Linked DNA regions of Ovis aries. The protein of the gene in region 1 purifies or fractionates together with the protein of each later gene. This does not show direct contact. Links are inferred from orthologs where the notes say so. Each region holds a gene or a part of one and is shown in the gene's direction. Other genes may lie near its edges.

Region 1 (6,883 bases):
GTCTTTATCTGAGCCTCCCCCAACTACACATGATTGACTTTTGTGTAGAGCAAAGGCCATAGGTCGGAGAAGTTCAGTTCAGTTGCTCAGTCATGTCCAACTCTTAGTGACCCCATGGACTGCAGCACGCAGGCTTCCCTGTCCATCACCAACTCCAGAAGCTTGCTCAAACTCATGTCCATCGAGTCGGTGATGCATCCAACCATCTCATCCTCTGTCATCCCCTTCTCCCTCTGCCTTCAATCTTTCCCAGCATCAGGGTCTTTCCCAAGGAGTCAGTTCTTCGTATCAGGTGGCCAAAGTATTGGAGTTTCAGCTTCAGCATCAGTCCTTCCAGTGAATACTCAGGTCTGATTTCCTTTAGGATTGACTGGTTGGATCTCCTTGCAGTCCAAGGGACTCTCAAGAGTCTTCTCCAACACCACAGTTCAAAAGCATCAATTCTTCAATGCTCAGCTTTCTTTATACTCCAACTTTCATATCTGTACATGACTACTGGAAAAACCATAGCTTTGACTAGATGGACCTTTGTGGCAAAGTAATATCTCTGCTTTTTAATATGCTGTCTAGGTTGGTCATAGCTTCTCTTCCAAGGAGCAAGTGTCCTCTTCGAATGAGCAAGCCGATTGCAGACGGCTACAGTCACTGTCTGCAGTGATCCTGGAGCCCAAGAAAATAAATTCTCTCACTGTTTCCCTTGTTTCCCATCTATTTGCCATGAAGTGATGGGACCAGTACTCTTGCCTGGAAAATCCTATGGATGGAGGAGCCTGGTAGGCTGCAATCCATGGGGTCACTAAGAGTCGCACACGACTGAGCGACTTCACTTTCACTCTTCACTTTCACGCATTGGAGAAGGAAATGGCAACCCACTCCAGTGTTCTTGCCTGGAGAATCCCAGGGACAGGGGAGCCTGATGGGCTGCCGTCTATGGGGTCGCACAGAGTCAGACAGGACTGAAGCGACTTAGCAGCAGCAGCAGCAGATGGGACCAGATGCATTATCTTAGTTTTCTGAATACTGAGTTTTAAGCCAACTTTTTCACTCTCCTGTTTCACTTTCATCAAGAAAGTGAAAGAAAAAAAGAAAGTGAAAGAGGCTCTTTAGTTCTTCTTCACTTTCTGCCATAAGGGTGGTGTCATCTGCATGCCTGAGGTTATTGATATTTCTCCCAGCAATCTTGTTTCCAGCTCCTGTTTCATCCAGCCCAGTGTTTCTCATGATGTATTTTGCATATAAGTTAAATAAGCAGGATGACAATATACAGTCTTGGTGGATTCCCTTCCCTATTGGGAACCACTCTGTTGTTCCATGTCCTGTTCTAACTGTTGCTTCTTGACCTGCATACAGATTTCTCAGGAGACAGGTCAGGTGGTCTGGTATTCCCATCTCTTGAAGAATTTTCCACAGTTTGTTGTGAACCAGAGTCAAAGGCTTTGGCGTAGTCAATAAAGCACAAGTAGATGTTTTTCTGTTCAGGGAAGGAACTCTACAGTACCTTTTTGCTTAATCCAAAGTCCAAGAGTCGCTTTTCTACCCGATTTGATTAGACTAATATCGAGTTCTAAGTTCTTGGCCCTGTGATAGTTTTAATGGGGTACAGGAAATGTGAGATAGCCAGTAGATTCTGCAGAGAAACATGCCTCTTTAGGATCTGAGAGAGCAAAGAGTAGACAATGAATGCCCAAATTTTAATCCCCAGCCCAGGAGCTAGGGATGCAGCAGTGAAGATGACGGATGAAAATCCTTGCCATCATCGTGCTTAAACTGCAAAGGGCTTAACGGGAGATAAAAACGATAAATAAGTAAAACGTATAGTATGTCACATAGAGGTAAGTTTTGAGAGAAATGGAGGGAAAGTGGGCAGGATTTGTATATGTATGTGTGTGGGAAGGGTTGCAGTTTTATTTAGTGAGGCCAAAGAAGGCATTTCAGAGAAGATGACATATGAGTAAAATACTGAAGTGAGAGAAAACTACCATGTTGGGTATACCGTAACTTCCTTATTGATTACAAACGCAGAGCTTCTGGTGGCTCGTGGGCAGTTTGTGCCAATTTGGCATACCCACAGCTCTGGAAAAAAATAATAAGAAAGCCAGGTAATGTGGGAAGTTGAAAGAAAGGAAGCCAGGCCAGTAAAAACAAAAACAAAAAAAAACCTGGCAGAAGGTAAGAGCAAACTCACCTCTGTTAGGTCAGCGTGCCAGTAGAAAGAAGAGGGGTGGCGGGGGCGGGAATCGGAGCATCCTGTCCCTTTAAAAATGGCGGCCCGGCACGGACCAACAATACCATTGGTTGCGCGAGCAGAGGGGGCGGGCACAGGGGCGGGGCGCGGAGCCTCGGAGTCCCACCTCCTACGGCAAGTCAGAGGTGGCAAGATGGCCGCGGCTGAGGGGGACGGTGGTGTCCGGGCCGAAGCCGACCGGGAATTGGAAGAGCTTCTGGAAAGTAAGAGCCCGTCATGGGAAAGCCCCAAAGAGGGCGGATGTAAGGATCCATTCAGGGGGTTAAGTAAACCTGCGATGTTTGGGGCGGAGTAAGAAAGGCTCTCCAAAGGCTGGACGGGGGCGGAGAGTCTGACTGCGACCCTCGAGAAAATCTCTGGGTCACCCTCTCCTTCCTCTGCAGCGGTAGTTGAGGAGTTCTCTCTGGGTCCCTGAACGGCCCACACTGTTGATCGCCCTGCCGGAGGGGAAGCTAACCCAGAGGACGTTTCACGCTCCCTCTCCAAACTCCCCTTACTTTAGTAAGTTCTGAAGTCTGACTTTCTCCCCACCAGCAGCAGCATTTGGTCCTCAGGGGGCAGCGAACCGAACAACCACGAATTGCTTCCATTAACTATTAGGAAGCCTGTAGTGCGTTCTTCTGTTAACTGTCCTGCCCTCCTTAACAGAAAAGACACTCCTTTTTTTCTCCCAGTCCTTTCATCCACCAGGCCCCTTTCCAGTTCTTTCATCATGTCAGAGCTCAAACCCTTCCCATTAGTTTGAAAAACAGGATGAGACAGCCTCAGGGGAAGACAGTTCACTCTGGAAAGAAGGTGGCTGTACTTTTCCTCCTCAGCCCTGCCATCCACTCCTGTCTGGTTTGGTTTCTTGTCCAGAGTGGGGCTGGTGTCTTTCCCCCTAGGCCTGGCAAATATAGTGGTGGTGAGAACACAGGCTTTTCAGGGTCGAGGTGAATATTTATTGTCTCTTGCTCAGTCACAGAGTGGGCAGGCGGAAAGGTGAACAGAAATGGTGAGAAGTGCTAAGTGACTGTGTGAGTCTGCAGAGATGAGACCACAGGGAGCTCTAGCAACTCTGGGGAGGGAGACCTAAATTGAAAGAGAAAAGAGAGTTCAGGGCCCTCCCGTGGAGTATAATATGGAGTCCCTCAGTTTGTACCAGGACCCATGGGAAGCTGGGTGAAACATCTTAAGGCTTCTGCTCTCTTGCCAAAGATTATTCCTTGTAGGGCTCCAGAGTGAGTTCTAGGGGGGTTAAGGACATCTGTGTTCTCTGTTTCTCTTGAATATCTGTATGGGATTTCTAGGAACCATTAAAGTATGGCAAAGAGGCATTGTGTAGATGAACTGTCCTCTTACAGCTTTGAGAGATGTTTTTTTACACCTTAAGAGACTTCTTCCCCTGTGATTACAGTATGTTAGGTAATGGGGAGGGGGAGGGAGAAGCTTATTGAGGAGTGGGTCAGGAGAGGGAGACTCAAAAAAAAGGAGAGCATTTTAGGAAGGTTGGCAGCTTGAAAGATTGTTTTCTTAATGCTTTGCTCAGAAACCCCTCTAGCCTTGCATTCTCATCCATCACCAACACATACACTGTGTCTCTTGTCTCTGAAGGTGCTCTTGATGATTTCGATAAGGCCAAACCCTCCCCAGCACCCCCTCCTACCACCACGGCCCCTGATGCTTCAGGGCCCCAGAAGAGATCGCCAGGAGACACTGCCAAAGTATAAATTCCACCCACTTAAGGGATGGGGAGGGTGTGGGCGTGCAGCTCCAAGCAGAGGTGGGGCAGGCCTTTGTGGGCCAGAGGGGAGTCGGGGAGGGTGCCTTGGCCTCACATTGGTGAGTGCTCTTGCAGGCCTCAGTCCTTGTGAAACAGGGACTTGAGATTGAGTACAGGGATCTCAAGGAAGTTCCTTAAGAAAAGAACAGATTTAAATGGTTGGATTGGGAATACCAGCCCATAGCCTTCCCTTAGTGGCCAGATGGCCTTTTTGCTGTTCTCATGAAGGGAAGTAGTCAGAATGCCCAATGGAGGTGGGTAGGAGGGAAGCACTGCACCTCCCAGCGCCACTGCCTGTGGCTTCTGTCAGAAACCATGTACACTGGGGTGCCAAGTAAGAGATGCGCTTTGGCCACATTCTCCCCTGCAGGATGCCCTCTTCGCCTCCCAGGAGAAGTTTTTCCAGGAACTGTTTGACAGTGAGCTGGCTTCCCAAGCCACTGCAGAGTTTGAGAAAGCAATGAAAGAGTTGGCTGAGGAAGAGCCCCACCTGGTAGAGCAGTTCCAAAAGCTTTCAGAGGCTGCTGGGAGAGTAGGTAAGGAAGAGAAACAGTGCGAAATATCTGAACAAACCTCTTGGGTTATTGTCCCTTGACAACACCAAAATTTTTTGTAAAAGTTGACAGTAATTATGATACCACTGCCATGGGATGGGGGAGGAGATGGAAGGAAAAAGGAGACCCTGTTTAATGAAAGGGGTGAGATAGGTTGGAAAGTAACAGAAAAGATTATTGAAAAGTGATAATTTCATTTTTATTTATTTATTTTGAAAAGTGATAATTTTAAAGATCAGTGTTAATGTGGGTGTCATTGTAGAGAACAAACTGAGACACAGTCCATGTAGATTTATGAAAATAACTATGAAGATAAACGTATTCAAAGATTTGGAGTGTAGCAATTCACTAGTAAATGCTCCATGTCCAAGCTGGTAACCAGGTCAGTCTTAAGCAAGCAGTTAAAATCCTAAATGACCTAGGCTCTTTTCATCTCTCCCAGGCAGTGATGCGACTTCCCAACAAGAATTCACCTCTTGCCTAAAGGAGACGTTAAGTGGACTAGCCAAGAATGCCACTGACCTTCAGGTGAGAGGGAAGATGGGGAACCACATGGGTCCCACTCACAGAGATTTCACCGGCAGAGCCTCAAAAGACAGACTCTCTTGGGTGTCATCTCAAGTCTGTTCTTGCTTATTTTGCTACAGGCATGTTTAAATAGTTCTTTCCCACCTGAAAAGTTGGTTAGTGTCCCAAGAAGGTGGTATACTTGCTCATTTCTCTTCTGTTCTTTCTAGAACTCTGGCATGTCAGAAGAGGAACTGACCAAGGCCATGGAAGGGCTGGGCATGGACGAAGGGGATGGGGAAGGGACCATCCTCCCCATCATGCAGAGTATCATGCAGAACCTACTGTCCAAGGATGTGCTGTACCCATCACTGAAGGAAATCACAGAAAAGGTTTGTGAGCTTCTGTTTATGCTTTTCCTCCTTATTCCTCATTGTATCAATTCCCATGGGCTACTTTGTCTATTTAGAAACTGTAAAGACAGAGTAACTCAAGTGTACAGGTTCATCTGTTTTTTTTTTTTTCCCCTTTGTTTATTTATTTGGAAGGGGAGAGTTAGGGAGGAGTTGTGTCTCCAAGAGAATAAAGCTACTTTACTGAGAATATTTAAGGTAGAAGGAGAAATCCTTCAGCTAATAGTTTTCTGTAAACTAGTCTAAGACTCTGTTGTTGTCTGATCAACTCCTTCTTGCATTTCCAATTTCATTCATTTCTCCAACAAGATGTCACTGATGGTTTACTGACTTTATGCTGTGAACAATTGTAAGAGTAGTTTAAATGATGGTCTCTGGCATCAAAGGGTTTATAGTGTTACTGGAGAGACTTTTAAAAGTTGTTAAACACAAAAGAAGGAGTATGTGACTGAAACCATATGTGGCCCTTAAAGCCTCAAATATTGACTGTCTGGCTCGTCACAGAAAAAGTTTGTCATAAATGGTGACCATAAATGGTAGCATAGCCAGGTGATGATTGATTGAAGTCAGTGCTGCTTCTCATGCTGAACTTATTTAGTTTTTCCTTCTCCTCTGTTTCTGGCCCCTTTGTGTTCTTTGTATTTTATTCCCCTTACTTATGCATTCTTCACTTAATTCTTCACCACCCATTTTCTGTTTACTTAGTATCCAGAATGGTTGCAGGCTCACCGAGACTCTCTACCTCCAGAGCAATTTGAAAAATATCAGGAACAACATAGTGTCATGGGCAAAATATGTGAGCAGTTTGAGGCAGAGACCCCCACAGACACTGAGGCCACTCAGAAGGCTCGTTTTGAGGTGGTGCTGGATCTTATGCAGCAGGTAAGGCCTCCGTTTGCTGTGTGCCCGCTGCTTCTGTGTGCTTGAGTGTTCATTGCAGGCGGATCCTGAAAGGAGGCCACACTGCCAAACCAAAGTGGAGGAGGGAGCACAGGGGAGGCCACAAAGCATGGTCTTACCTCGTGTTCCTCTTTCTTTATTTTCCAGCTACAAGATTTGGGCCATCCTCCAAAAGAGCTTGCTGGGGAGATGGTGAGTATACCATCTTGCAGACTTTAATCTGAGCCCAAGTTTCTATTATTCTGTAACCTTTAGTGATTCCACCCAAGGTAATAATAGTGGCTGCAGGGGACAGACCTTCAAAAGCTCTAACTTTTTGAAATGGGAGGAGTTATCTGAGTCCCTTCATCTCTTCTCCAGCCTCCTGGCCTCAACTTTGACCTGGACGCCCTTAATCTATCGGGCCCACCAGGTGCCAATGGTGAACAGTGTCTGATCATGTGAAACCCAGCACGCTTTCTTCCCTGATTCCCAGCCATGGGGGAACGTCTGGAGTCAGCAG
Region 2 (6,787 bases), on another chromosome or scaffold:
CGTGCTTGATAAATAGCATTTGTGATATTTATTGAAGACCAACAGAAACAGAGAAATACTCACTTTTTGTTGTCTTCAAGATAAAATTCTGTAACGTCAGTTATTTGAAATAACCTGAATGAACTAATTCACTTGTGTTTTCAAGTCATGTAATTTGAGTTGGAAAAATATTTACTGAACACTTTTCAAGGCACTCATACAACCATAGAGGCGGCTGCAGCACATCTAGGAAAGTGCATTTCGTGCTAGGAAAGTGAAACAAGGATGGCTGCAGTGTGCTGGGCTGCACAGTTCAGTGTCTGAGTACACAAAGACAGCAGTGTTCCATGCTAAGCCATTTTTCTTTTAGCTGGCTTATAAACACTGAAAGGCAGCTCTAATTTCTATACAGCAAAGTCAATAACCATGTTTCTACAGAGTTGTTTGCTTTAAATGCATAACACAAGCAGTAAGGTCCTGGCTTATGACTGTTGAGTACAGGAGAAAAAAGTGTAGCCTGCCACCTGAGATTGGAGGGAGGCGCTGGTACAGGCACTCAGATAAAACTGTCTTCAAACAGAGCCAACAGGGCACATATCCGTGCCACACTCCAGCCAAGGGCTCTTTCCTTCTCTACTGAAGATTGTTTAATTCTACTCGATTCTGACCCCCTTGCCTAGGGAAAAACTGCAAATGAACCAATACAATCTCCACATTTTACTGATATTCTCCTGTTTACCAACTACATGTGAGCAAACTAGGGTTACAGAAATACCTGTTGTGGTAGAACAAATTGTACCTTAAAAGCATGATATATCTTCTGGGACACCTGAGTCTGGATGTTTGAAGAACCACATATGGATAAGAATGGGGATATAACATTGTTCAGTGTGAGAGGAACTATCTCAACTGACAAAGGAAATCACTTCCCAGCTCAGTTATATCTCCTCAAACCTCCCAAGCCTTTCTCTGCTTAGGGTTAAATAACTGTTTATATAGATTTTATCATAAACCTTAAATTAACTACTTGACAAAGACTTTCCATCAACAGAACTATCCAAATCTATTTTGATTCCAGAGATTGGAATAATCCCAAATTGTTCACAATCTTTAATTTCACAGGTGTGATACCATCTAAATAGAATACAATAATTATGGCTTATCCATCTTCAAAAGAGAATAATTACCATATTGGCATTCCAACTTAAAAAGCAAATGCTATTAATACTTTCTTCTTAAACTGCAGTTCTGAGATTCTGGCCCCTGTATATTTTGGGCTGAAGGCCTCTTTATTAGTTAAGCCAACTATATTCTCCACTCCTTAAAAGTGTACAGCTAAGAATCCATACCCCATGACTTTTCGTCTTAATGTAAATAAATGAGCTACTTTATTATAAATCAATAAGCAGAGAAAATATGTATGTGTCTAGAATGGTGCAGTCTAAGAAAGCTAAATATACAAAACAGAGACTAGTTAGACAAAAAAAAAGATCTGAACCAAGCCTGTGCAGAATTCATGTCTTTAATTACTGTAACATGATTAATTAGTTATTAATTTATAAACAGAGAATTTTGCTTAAGAAAACCTCCTTTGCCTGAAGATACTTCTTGGGTCACCTACACCTAAAGAACAGAATGACCTATTTCAAGATGAGGATCCTTATTTTTCACAAAAAGTTATAGCCACCTGCTGTAGAGAATAATTGACAGCCCCTACACCAAAGATGTCTGTGTCCTAATCCAAGGAACCTCTTATATTACATGACCAAAAGGAGTTTGCAGGTGTGATGACTTTAGGTGTTTTGAGATGGGGATTATCTGGGTGGATCCACTGTAATCATAAGGTTCTTTATAAGAGCCAGAAATTAGAGACAGAGAGGAGAGTGAGGCTGGAAATGCGGCAGTGTTGTTTTTGAAAATAGAGGAAGGAGGCTCTACAAACTACAAAGGGCAAGAGAAGAGATTCTCCCCTAAAGCTTTCAGAACGAACAAAACCCTGTCACATCTTAATTTTAAGGGCTTTTGACCTTAGAACTAAGTCAGAAGCTGCTCCCTTTACTCCGCAGCCTCGCAGACAACGCGGTCAGAGCCGCCCCGACCACGCGAAGCAGTGGGGCTGGACCCGAGAGGCCGGAGCCTTGCAGCCCCACCGCCCTCACTCCAGCACAAGATGCGCCGACCGTGGGCCTGCGGCGCCGACCGGAGATTAGGCTGCAAGGCCTCCGCGCGCGCTCCTAGCATAACCGGACACCCTCAGCTACTACCCTGAGAACTCGTGGGCAGCGCATCAGCAGGAGCCAAGCTATGGCGCTTTCCTCCTCCCCGCCCCCGTCCTAGAGCCGCCCTTCCCCGTTGCGCTGCCGAAGGGCCGCAGGCGGAGGACCTCTGACACGGCGCCAACAAAGAGACGGCGGGGAGAGGGGGCAGCTTCGGAGAGCTGCCGGACTCTCAACCCGGAGCCCACGTCGGGCGGCCGAGTGGAGCGCCGCTCTAGCCGCTGCTCACGGACGACGCGCGCGCTAAGGAGGGGGCGCTCCTGCGCCGCCAGGCCGAAAGGAGGGTCCTTGGCGCCCGCCTGCCACCTGTCTCACCGGCTGGGCTCCCCGTCCGCGCCCGGCTCCGCGCGCAGTCGTCCAGTATTCCTCAGAACCATAGCGCTGAAGCCGCCGCCGCCGCCACTTCCCTGTAGAAATTTGGCGCGCTTGTAATGACTCTCGCGAGAAGCCGGAAGCGCCCCACCGCCCAATCAGGAGGCTCGTCGCACCCCGCCCCAAAAAGCTCCAATCGCCGCCGGCGCCCGAGGGGGCGGTGGCCCGTTAGGGAGTCCGGGAAAAGTGCGCGGAGGTTCGCGTTGCGTATCCAGGGGTCTGTACCCGGCGGCACTGCGCGACGCGGCGGGGCGGGAAATGTCCGGCCGTCCCCGCCCCGCGCCCTGGGGCCCAGAGCCCGACAAGCCAAGAGTGGGGTCTGTGCCCCCGGTGGGCGTGGACCGGGGAAGGCGATGGCGCCGGCGGCGTCGAAGCTGCGGGCGGAGGCTGGACTAGAGCCGCTCCCGCGGCGGGCGCTCTCCCAGTACCTGCGCCTTTTGCGGCTCTACCCAGTACTCACCAAAGCGGCCACCAGGTCTGCGCAGAGAGGCGGAGGAGGGGACTGGACGGGGCCGGTGGGGGCGAGGCGGGGTGCGGGGGTGGGCGCGGCCCAGAGCTCTGTCGGCCGGTGACCCAGCCCCACAGGTACATCCATCCAACGTGGGGGTTTGAATGTGGAAGGCAAAATCCGTGTGTGTCAAAATGACCCTCCAATTGCCTTAAATTAACCAGAACTCTTAGCACGTGCTGTTCTGTATATTTGGTTCCGAGCTGTGACTCGTAAACACCCTAAAATGTGGACCCAGGGGCCAGACTAAAGGAGTGCCCGAGCTGAAGGACTTGCTGCAGGCCTCGGGGCCTCCGGCCCCTCTGCCCCGGAGGTGGCGGTCGTCCGGGGTGAAAGGGGACTGGGGGAAACATCTGTCACCCGCTCGGCTCTGCGCAGGTTCTGCAGCTACCTTCCAGTTCGTTAGTGCCTGCTCTTGTTTTGAGTCCAGGATAGGCTGGGGATTCCCTGGTGGCTCAGTCGGTAAAGAGTCTGCTTGCAATGCAAGAGATCCGGGTTCGATTCCTTTGCCGGGAAGAGCCCCTGAAGAAGGAAATGGCAGCCTATTCCAGTATTCTTGCCTGGGAAATCCCATGGACAGAGGAGCCTGGCGGGCTAGGGCTACAGGCCCTGGGGTCCTAAGAGTCGCACAGGACTTCCCGACTAAACCACAGCCACCACCGGATGGACTAAATGGGTTGAGGTGAACACCTAATTTAGGAAGGGCAAGGAAGGCTAGACCGGGTGGGAGATGTTAAGATATGCTTCAGCAGCTTTGCATTTGGGAGAAAGCTGACACAGTGCCCCCCTTGCTGCGGTTAGGTGGGCCCTTTGATTTGGAGTACTAAACATTTTATGAGACATCCCCCCCTTCCTTTTAATTAATCCATTTTACAAGTTTGTCCCCTTTTATTAATACAGCCTTTCATACATGTGTACAGCTGCTTCCTGTCTGGGGAGCATTAGCGATGATTAAGACAAGTAAGTCCTGTCCCTACCCTCACGGATCTTGCGTTCTAGTAAAGAACTAGTCAAAAAGTAGATAAATGTATAACACAGATAAAGTGGTCAGGGAAGTTTTATTTGAGGAGGTGACACTTAAATAGAAGCCTGAAGAAGGAACAGGCTGTACAAAACAGGGAATCAGAGGTTAGAGGGCACAGCAGGAGCAAAGGTCCTGAGGGAGGAGCAATCTAATAGTGGTGGAGTGGAAGATGGGCCTGTGTTCCTGGAGAAAATGAACAACAGCCAAGGGAGAGGATGAGGAAGAAGTAGTGAAAGATCAGATCAAGAGGCTCCTTGTCTCGTCCAAGAATTTTGGACTTTATAGCTTAGAAAGCTTCTCAGAATGCAGATATAGACCAATTATTGAGCAGCTGGGCCCATCTCCATCTTTCTATTTGAAAGTTTTATTGTGATGATTGTAGATTTACATGTGCGCGTGTGCTAAGTTGCTTCAGTCACGTCTGGCTCTGCGACCCTGTGGACTGTAGCCCACCCAGTTCCTCTGTCCATGGTACTCTCCAGGCAAGAATAACTGGAGTGGGTTGCCAGTCCCTCCTCCTGGAGATTTTCCCAATCCAGGGATCGAACCCGTGTCTCTTGCATCTCCTGCATGGCAGGTTCTTCACCACCTGGGAAGCCCCAGATTCACGTGTAGTTGTAAGAAACAATACAGGGAGATCCCTAGTATACTTGCCCCAATTTCCCCCATTGGCAACATTCTGTAAAACTGTAGTATCACAACCAGGACACTGTATAGACAGCAGACCATAGGACTTATTCAGATTTCCCCAGCTTTTCTTGTACTCTTCCGTGACTGTAGGCATTAAGATCTATGCAGTTTTGTCACATGTATAGGTTTGTGTGTCTACCACTGGAGTCAAAATAAAGAAAATTTTCTTCATAAGGATCCCTTGGCGTTGCCCTTTTATAACTACACAGGGTAACTTTTTCTAAAATTATAGGCTATCATCACAATCCAGATATGACATTTATACAACCCACCGATTGGAAATCTTACCATGCTTCTGTGTGTGTATTAAGTTCTGCCGTCTCCACCTTTTCATGCTGGGAACTTACATTTCGCTGCTCTGATAAGGGTTCATCTCCACCCATCCCCAGCATGTTCTTCGAACCACTGTGCTAATTATGTGCAGGAATAGATGTGCTCCCCGCCCCGCGCCTCCCGCCCCGCGCCTCCAGCCCCGGTAGTTCGCTTCTGTGTTCTGAATACCCCTCTCTCCACAGTGGCATTTTGTCAGCACTTGGGAACTTCCTGGCACAGTTGATTGAGAAGAAGCAGAAAAAAGAAAACTGCTCTCAAAAGCTAGATGTCAGCGGGCCTCTCAGATATGCTATCTATGGGTGAGTTCCATAAAGGGACTGATTTACTCAGTAGCAGGCTAAGTGCGACAAAGCTAGGATATCAACACCTGGAATTACCTAATTCAGAAAAGTAATTTTTAAAAAAGCATTGAAGTCATCGTGGGAGAAAAATCAGAATGATGGATAACGTTAGCTTCACTTGTTTTGTAGTTTTATTTGGTTTTTATTTTGAATTGCATGGGTGAGGGTAGCCATAGTAATTGAGCTGAGAGGCCTGAGGGCACCTAAACCTGAAATCAGACTTCAGGACCCAAAGACTCTGAAAGAGGAAAGCAGACTCAAATATGACCAGTTAGTTTCTGTTGTTAAATTCAGAGCATAACCATTCAGAAAAGAAATCCTTAGGTATCCTGAAAATTGTCGTTTCTGAACTACTTTTTAAATCGCAAAAGCACAGAGATTCAGAAGTTTTATCTATTAAATCCACCCCGAGTTCTCTGGCCAACAACAGTGTTTGTATAGATGGATTTTTAGAAATCTTTTGCAATAAGATTGATTTTTTTTCAATTCAAAATTTGCCCAGAGAGATGTTATGGGGAGGGAGGTGGGAGGGGGGTGCAAAAAAAAAAAAGAAAAAGAAAAAAGAAAAAGAAATAAATAAAAATAAAAATAAATAAATTTAAAATAAAGAAGAAGTAGAAAAACCAAAAAAAAAAATAAAGTGATACATTACAGTGAAAAAAAAATTTGCAAATAACATTTTTTGTATTGTAAGCATGCTAACTTGAGTCGTCACAGCTTTTCCCATATGTATTTAAAGTCCTAATCCCTCCAAAGAGGGGGTGATAATCCCTCCACCTGGAAGTGATTCTGATCCATTCCCCTTATCCAGTCACAGTTTTCCATCCTCAAGACTTCCTGTTTCTCTTCCTTCTAAGAAGCCCTGCTCTGGGCCAGTTAACATTCTCTGAGAGGGTGGAGAAAGACAAGGGAAAACCATTTTTTTAAAGGCTTGGCACTGTGGAGCTAGAAGGCCCCTGGGCCCCTGCTCATCTTTTGATTCTGGATTTCATGGAATCTCAGATCTGTTGATCCTGTAGACATGGTGGCAGGGTTCAGTTTTCTTCCTGTGCTGTTTGAAATGAAAAATAATATAGACAAGCCAGCACACAGCACCAGGTCTCAGCCCTGATAATGATCGTAGAGAGTTTGATAAAAAGCTCTGACACCTGGGATGCTTCTGTTTATTTACCGAGCATCTCTGAGCCAGGCCATGTTCCAGACAGAGCAGTGAACAGACAGACATGATCCTGCCTTGTGGCGTTTACCTTCTAAGGGTGAAGAG
Region 3 (6,901 bases), on another chromosome or scaffold:
CGCCGCCGCCACCCGCGCCCCCGCCCGTGGTGCCCGAGCTCTTCCTGGCCGCGGCCGAGACCACGGTGGAGCTGGTGTACCGCTGCGACGGCTGCGAGCTTGGCTTTGGCAGCGAGGAGCTGCTCCTGGAGCACCAGCCGTGCCCAGGGCCCGAGGCGCCGCCCCCGCCGGCCGCCGCGCCCTCCGAGGCGCCCAAGGCCGACCCACCGCCGCCGCCGCGGTCCCCGCTGCCCCAGCCTGCTCCGGCCACCGCTGCTGCCCCTGGCTTCGCCTGCCTCCCCTGCGGGAAGTCCTTCCGGACGGTGGCCGGCCTCTCCCGCCACCAGCACAGCCACGGGGCGGCGGGTGGGCAGGCGTTCCGCTGCGGCAGCTGTGACGGCGCCTTCCCGCAGCTGGCCAGCCTGCTGGCACATCAGCAGAGCCACGTGGAGGAGGCCGCGGCCGGGCGCCCGCCCCCCCAGGCCGAGGCCGCTGAGGTCACCTGCCCGCAGGAACCACTGGGGCCCGCGCCCGGCCCTCCGGCCCCTGCACCGGCTCCGGCCTCGGCGGAGCGACCCTACAAGTGTGCCGAGTGCGGCAAGGCCTTCAAGGGCTCTTCGGGGCTGCGCTACCACCTGCGGGACCACACGGGCGAGCGGCCCTACCAGTGCGGCGAGTGCGGCAAGGCCTTCAAGCGCTCATCGCTGCTCGCCATCCACCAGCGTGTGCACACGGGCCTGCGCGCCTTCACCTGCGGCCAGTGCGGCCTCACCTTCAAGTGGTCCTCGCACTACCAGTACCACCTGCGGCTACACTCGGGCGAGCGGCCCTACGCCTGCGGCGAGTGCGGCAAGGCCTTCCGCAACACGTCATGCCTGCGCCGCCACCGGCACGTGCACACGGGCGAGCGGCCCCACGCCTGCGGCGTGTGCGGCAAAAGCTTCGCGCAGACCTCCAACCTGCGGCAGCACCAGCGCGTGCACACGGGCGAGAGGCCCTTCCGCTGCCCGCTCTGCCCCAAGACCTTCACGCACTCCTCCAACCTGCTGCTGCACCAGCGCACGCACTCGGCCGAGCGGCCCTTCACCTGCCCGGTCTGCGGCCGCAGCTTCGTCATGGCTGCCTACCTGCAGCGGCACCTGAGGACGCATGCCCCCGCGGCCCCCGCGGCCGGCCCTCAGCCCCCGGCCCCGCTGGCCGCCGCCCCTGCCCCGTCGGCCACCCAGGATGTGCACGTCCTCCCCCACCTCCAGGCCACGCTCTCCCTAGAGGTGGCTGGGGGGACGGCCCCGGCCGCGGCCCCCGGCCCCGCCGCTCCCAACTCGCAGACTTTTCTCCTGGTGCAGACGGCTCAGGGCCTGCAGCTGATTCCCAGCAGCGTCCAGCCGCCCACGCCCCCGCCCCCGCCAGCACCCCCCAAGCTCATCCTGCTGCCCTCCTCCGGCCCCGCCGGGGGAGGCAGCTGCGCCCGGCAAGGCCCGCGGGCCGCGGGGAAAGCTGGGCCGGGGGCTGGAGTAGTCTGGCTGCCGGGCCCTGGGGGGTTAGGAGTGCAGAGAGGAAGCAACGCTGCGGGGAACGTGGGAGGGCAGAGCCTCATAGTTCTGCAGAACGTGGCGGGTGGGGAAACAGGCCCACAGGAAGTGAGTGGGGTTCAGCTCCAGCCCCTTCGTCCAGCCCCGGAACTGACCACCGTCCAACTCCAGCCGGCCCAGGAGGTGACCACGGTCCAGCTCCAGCCTGTGACGGGTCCGCTGTCCAGTTCCAGCGGGGGAGCCGTGACCACCGAGGCGCCTAATCTGCTAGTGGTTCAGAGCGGGGCAGCTGAGGAGTTACTGGCGGACCCCGGCCCAGTGGAGCCTGGCGAGGGCGAGGCCGGCCCGGGGGTAGTCCCAGATGTGCTCTTTGAGACGCTGCAGACGGAGGAGGGACTGCAGAGCGTGCTGGTGCTGAGCGGGGCCGACGGGGAGCAGACCCAGCTGTGTGTGCAGGAGGTAGAGACCTTACCGTCGGGTCTGGCCGAGCCGCCCGCCTCAGGCCCGCCCGGACAGAAGCTGCTCATTATCCGCAGCGCCCCAGCCGCAGAGTTGCTGGAGAACGGCAGCGCTGGGGGAGGCGCCGCTGCGCTGCAGCTACTGGCGCCCCCCCCACCTGGCCCAGCCTCTGCTCCTGCGGGCGTCCCTGCGGCCCCGGGCCCCCAGATGGTACAAGTGGTCCCCGCAGGAGCGGCACCCGGGGGCGTGGCCCCACAGGGCCTGCCTTCCATCCAGATTGTCCAGACTCTGCCCGCGGTCCAGCTGGTGCACACGTTTTGAGTCGGACCACGGGTATCTCTTCCCGCCCCACGAAGAGGCCCCCACCCCATCGCCGCCTGGGCTGGGCTGGGCGGAGGGAGCTGCAGGCTGGGCTTGCAAATAAAGACCAGAATCCCCTCTCGTGTTTTTTCTTCTTATTGATGGGGTGGGAGGTCAATGTCATGCCCATAGCCACCACTTGGGAACTGGTGGGGTCCCCTGCTTCCTGGTTCGCAGGTGACTTTGCGTCTTGGGGCCAGCCGCTGCTCCTTTGTGGGGGCCCTGTTTATCCATTTTTTAAGAAAAGGGACGCAACAGTCACGGTATGGGGGAGGCGCTGGAATCTGGAACCCCGGTTCTGCCACTTCCTCTGTAAGTCACTGCACCCCTCCTCGTGCAGAAAAATAGGTGGATGGCGGGACTGCTTATCCCAACGGTCACTGAGAGCCCTGGTGGGCAGGTGGGGAACCTGTGGGTCTGAGACGCTGTCGCGGCCCCGCCCGCGAAAGCCGGGGAGCCAGTGGGAATCAAGCCGCCTTCGCGGCCTCACCCCCGCGCTCAGGTCGCTTAGCAACCAGAGGCCTTCGGGAAGCCGGCCGGGGCGCGCGCTGGGTAAGCCCCGCTGCCCGCCCACAGCCGGTCTATAGTTCCAGGCCCTTCAGTCCGGCCCCCTCCCCTGCCAGCGTCCCGCACGCCAGCTCTCTCCGCCGCTCCTCCCGGCTCTAACCCGTCAGGCCGGACGCTTGGCAACGGTTGCTAAGGCCGAGAGCAGGCACCGCCCCGCTCCCAGCGCGCGGGTCTGACGTCACTTCCGCCGGCGACCCCTCCCCGACCCTGCCACCCCCCGCATCTTGTTAAAAGCCGGAGCGACCCACAGAGGTGTCTGAAAGTCCTCGTTCCTGCCACAGGCGCCGCTCGGGGGCGGCCGGGGGCAGAGGCCCTGGGAGCGGGGAGCGCGGTCCTTTCCCTGGCTGGGGGGGGTTCACTTACCCCCAGGGCAGCTGCGGGGCCTGGAGGCAGCGCGCTGTTGGCAGGTGTTGGCGGGCACCAGGCTTTTAGGCGTGGGTCGCCGAATACCGCCTGGGGCGAGGGCTTCACCCGAGAGGCTTTCGGAAGGTCGCTGGGTTGACCGGGAAGCCTGTTCTGTCTCGGGCCTCGCCTGGAGGCCGCCAGCATCCCGCTTCCTGACCTGGACACGCTGCCGCTGCTGGCCCGCAGCTCTGGGGCACTTTGGGGAACAAGAGGTGCCCTCCTGACACTGACCTGCTTGTTTTCGCCAGGTGCACGCCTGCTCCTTTGGGGGCGCGGGAGCCTGGGGGCTGCCATGGCCCCCAGCCACCTGTCGGTGCGGGAGATGAGGGAAGATGAAAAACCCTTAGTGCTGGAAATGCTGAAGGTGAGAGTCATTAGCAGCGCCACTGAGCCCGGGGGCGTGGGACGGAGGGTACCACTTGGGGGTGGGGGGCGGGAACCTAGAAAGCCCGGGAGGGGCGGGGACAGAATGGGGACACCAATGAGCTTGGGAGGGCGGGGACAGAATGAGGGGCACCAGGGAGCCCGGGAGGGGGCGGGGGGGCATCCCGAGTGGCTTCAGCCACCCTCCTGAGCCAGCGGTGACCCTGGAAATCAATCTTTTGCTCCTAAGGCACTTCCAGCCTTGGACCCTCCTCTTTCTAGTGCCTTCTCCCTAACCTGGAGATTGAGAACGGTTTTGGGTGTGTGTGTGTGGCCACGCCACATGGTACGCGGGATGGTAGTGCTCCCCGATCATGGATCCAAGCCGTAACCCGCGCAGTACAAGCCCTTCCATCTCCTCACTTCCCCTCAGCCCTGTGCCCCGGCCTCCTCCTCCTCCAAGCCTGGCCCTCGAGGACCCCCAGGCCCTTCCAGCTTCCCCGCTCGGTGGGGCCGCGCCTCTGTCCAGTCTCCCCTGTTGCCTCACGCCTGCAACTCCACTGAACCCGGAGCGCCCACCGTTCCTAATTCACCAGCTCCCTCATTCAGAGCCCAGTGTGCCAGCCAGCAGTGTGTTCACGCCACGGCAAGCTTGCCACAGGCCCCGGCTCACTGCTGTCCCCTCCCCTCCGATTGCTCCCACCCCAGGCAGGGCCTGCCTCCGCCCCCACTGCCTGCCTCCCCCACGCTGACTGCTCCTCCTGCCCGCAGGCTGGCGTGAAGGACACAGAGAACCGCGTGGCCCTTCATGCACTGACCCGGCCGCCGGCCCTGCTCCTCCTGGCTGCGGCCAGCAGCGGCCTTCGCTTCGTCCTGGCCTCCTTCGCCCTGGCCCTCCTCCTGCCCGTGTTCCTGGCTGTGGCGGCCATGAAGCTGGGCCTGCGGGCCCGCTGGGGCTCGCTGCCCCCGCCCGGCGGCCTCGGGGGGCCGTGGGTGGCAGTCCGGGGCTCGGGGGACGTGTGTGGGGTCCTGGCCCTGGCCCCAGGCACCGGTGCTGGGGATGGGGCCCGGGTCACCCGCCTCTCGGTATCCCGTTGGCACCGCCGCCGAGGCGTAGGCAGGCGCCTGCTGGCCTTTGCCGAGTCCCGGGCGCGAGCCTGGGCTGGCGGCATGGGGGAACCCCGGGCGCGCCTGGTGGTCCCGGTGGCCGTGGCAGCCTGGGGCGTGGCCGGGATGCTGGAGGGCTGTGGCTACCAGGCCGAGCGGAGCTGGGGCTGCATGGGCTACACGCTGGTGCGCGAGTTCAGCAAGGAACTGTGACTGCAGACCCTAGCAGGAGGAAAAGCAGCACTTAGTGAGCACCTGCTGTGTGCAGGCACTTCCACACCATCCTTACCCCCCCCCCCCCCCGCCAGGGCCCAGCAGCTGAGGCCCGCAGAGGGCAAGAGACCCTGCCACAGCCTGATGCCCATCCATAGTGTTTGAACTTCTTAGAGAGTTCAACCCGTCCAACCCCTGCCTCAGATTCTGTCTGCGCAGAGAAATCTTATCTGTCTGTCTGCCAAGCCTGTGTTGCTTGTGCTATGACATGTGGCAGGAGAGGAGGCCGAGCAAGTACGCCCCCCACTGGGGTTAGGACTTGGCAGGGGTACCCCAAACAGGGACGAGGGCCCCCCTCAGCCCCGGGGAGGTAGGGTGGGGGGCGATGCCCATGCTTGGAAGGGGTGAGGCTGCAGAGGCAGAGAGGGGCTGAGCAAAGCTTCTGCAGGGGAGTGTTGTCTGCCTGGAGAGAGCCCCGGGGAGGGGGTGGTGGGCACAGGGCTGCCTGCCCAGCCCCTCCCCAGGAAGGTGGGAGCCCAGAGGGGCGGCCAGACCCATCTGGTTTTTTACACCCGTTTGTTAATAAAGCCTGTAACCGCTGCTCGCCATCTCTCTCTGATGCCTTTTCCAGTCTGCCTCCACACCCACCATTTCTGTCTGGCCCCTCCTTCCCGAGGTTGACAGTAATTGTCGGGAGGGGGGAGTGTGCTGGACTGGGGGCAGGGGAGGCGATGAGCTCAGGCAGCCCAGCTCCCTGCCAGCCCTCTGACTCACGCTCCCCATTACCGAATTTTTTCCGCCTCACAGCTGCTTAGTGCAGAGAGAGAGAGAGAAAGAGTACGTTCCTGTGCGTGTGTGTGTGTGTTGTGTGTGTGTGTGTGTGTGTGTGCAGTCGTCCTCCCCCACCCAAGTCTTGACCCTTGGCCCTCTCGACCCCTGACCCCAGTTTTCTTGGGAGACACACAGAGGGCTGATGACTTCTGCCTGCAAATCCACCAGGGGGAATGGAGAAGGGAGTCTCTCTGTCTCCTTTCCCAGTCCAGGAAGTCCTTCCTGGTGTCTGCCTGCAAGCCCTCTTGCTGCACCAGGTCCCCAACCCGGCAGCTGATGTGAGCCCACCCTCAAAGCCCTCTGCTTCCGGCACACCACCCTGGCGGGACAGGAGAAGCAGCAGATGGGTGGGCGCCCCGCCCTCGCACCCTGTCAGGATCCTCCCCTGCAGCCTGCTGCCCCCCAAGCCTGAGTGCGGCACTTCTGGCCAGCCGGCTGTCTCCTGTGTGGGTGTCTGCAGTTGGACACCCTCCCTCCCGCCCTCCACCGCCCTCCTCCACAGGCCTCAGCCGCCGGCCAGCCCCCTCCCCGCCCCGCTCCTGTCCCCTGCTGCCTCCTCGGCAGCCTCTCTTCCTCCTGCAGAGCGTCCAGCCCCCGCCCGCTCCTCCCCGGGTCCAGGGCTCCTCTGGCAGGCGCTCCCCTCCCTCCTGCGTCGGCGGTCCCCTCCTCCTAGCTCCTGCTCCCGTCCACTTCCACCCTGTCCCCACCCTGACTCTGCAAACATGAGGGTCCTGGCCTGCCTCCTCGGTGAGTGACCCTTCCCCTCCTCCGGGACTCAGGGTCCCCGGGCCGGGCCCTCTGACCCCTGAGCTGACCCACTGCAGAGCCTCTGAGTTCCAGGGCCCCGTCCCTGTTGCTTGGTGGGGGGGATGTGGGGGAGCACAGGACATCTGGCTGCCTCTGACTGATCCTCCAGGGACCTGGCCTCAGGCACCCTGAGTCCCACCTTCTCAGGAGACCCCAGGACTTCCTCTCCCCTCCATGAGCCCTGACCCTGCAGAGGGGGTTCACCCATCATTCACCTTTAGCCAGGCCCCCAGTGGGGAGAGCCAAGGGCCTGGCCCCCTGCCCAGACCTGAGGCCTC

What was found. Proteins that work in one complex are often made in the same cells at the same time.
Region 2: the proteins of PEX19 (region 1) and PXMP2 purify together in Homo sapiens (affinity purification with mass spectrometry; 3 studies listed by BioGRID and IntAct, counting the BioPlex papers as one, with this or other methods). This does not show direct contact. The link is inferred for Ovis aries from reciprocal best matches to the Homo sapiens genes PEX19 and PXMP2.
Region 3: the proteins of PEX19 (region 1) and NAT14 purify together in Homo sapiens (co-immunoprecipitation; 3 studies listed by BioGRID and IntAct, counting the BioPlex papers as one, with this or other methods). This does not show direct contact. The link is inferred for Ovis aries from reciprocal best matches to the Homo sapiens genes PEX19 and NAT14.

The regions. Positions count from the first base shown.
Region 1 is NC_056054.1:111,302,254-111,309,136, reverse strand, and holds the start of PEX19 (peroxisomal biogenesis factor 19), read left to right. Parts: upstream 1-2,366; 5' UTR 2,367-2,378; coding exon 2,379-2,448; intron 2,449-3,838; coding exon 3,839-3,948; intron 3,949-4,377; coding exon 4,378-4,543; intron 4,544-5,003; coding exon 5,004-5,089; intron 5,090-5,298; coding exon 5,299-5,460; intron 5,461-6,186; coding exon 6,187-6,363; intron 6,364-6,528; coding exon 6,529-6,573; intron 6,574-6,741; coding exon 6,742-6,825; 3' UTR 6,826-6,883. UniProt on the Homo sapiens protein: Necessary for early peroxisomal biogenesis. Acts both as a cytosolic chaperone and as an import receptor for peroxisomal membrane proteins (PMPs).
Region 2 is NC_056070.1:44,565,307-44,572,093, reverse strand, and holds the start of PXMP2 (peroxisomal membrane protein 2), read left to right. Parts: upstream 1-2,963; 5' UTR 2,964-2,980; coding exon 2,981-3,102; intron 3,103-5,364; coding exon 5,365-5,481; intron 5,482-6,787. Other genes in the region: POLE (DNA polymerase epsilon catalytic subunit A), read right to left, coding at 2,571-2,632. UniProt on the Homo sapiens protein: Seems to be involved in pore-forming activity and may contribute to the unspecific permeability of the peroxisomal membrane.
Region 3 is NC_056067.1:62,803,284-62,810,184, reverse strand, and holds NAT14 (probable N-acetyltransferase 14), read left to right. Parts: upstream 1-3,077; 5' UTR 3,078-3,149; intron 3,150-3,550; 5' UTR 3,551-3,594; coding exon 3,595-3,666; intron 3,667-3,915; coding exon 3,916-4,011; intron 4,012-4,436; coding exon 4,437-4,985; 3' UTR 4,986-5,585; downstream 5,586-6,901. Other genes in the region: ZNF628 (zinc finger protein 628), read left to right, coding at 1-2,291; soluble scavenger receptor cysteine-rich domain-containing protein SSC5D, read left to right, coding at 6,539-6,563. UniProt on the Homo sapiens protein: Probable acetyltransferase. May act as a transcription factor that regulates the expression of coproporphyrinogen oxidase by binding to a promoter regulatory element.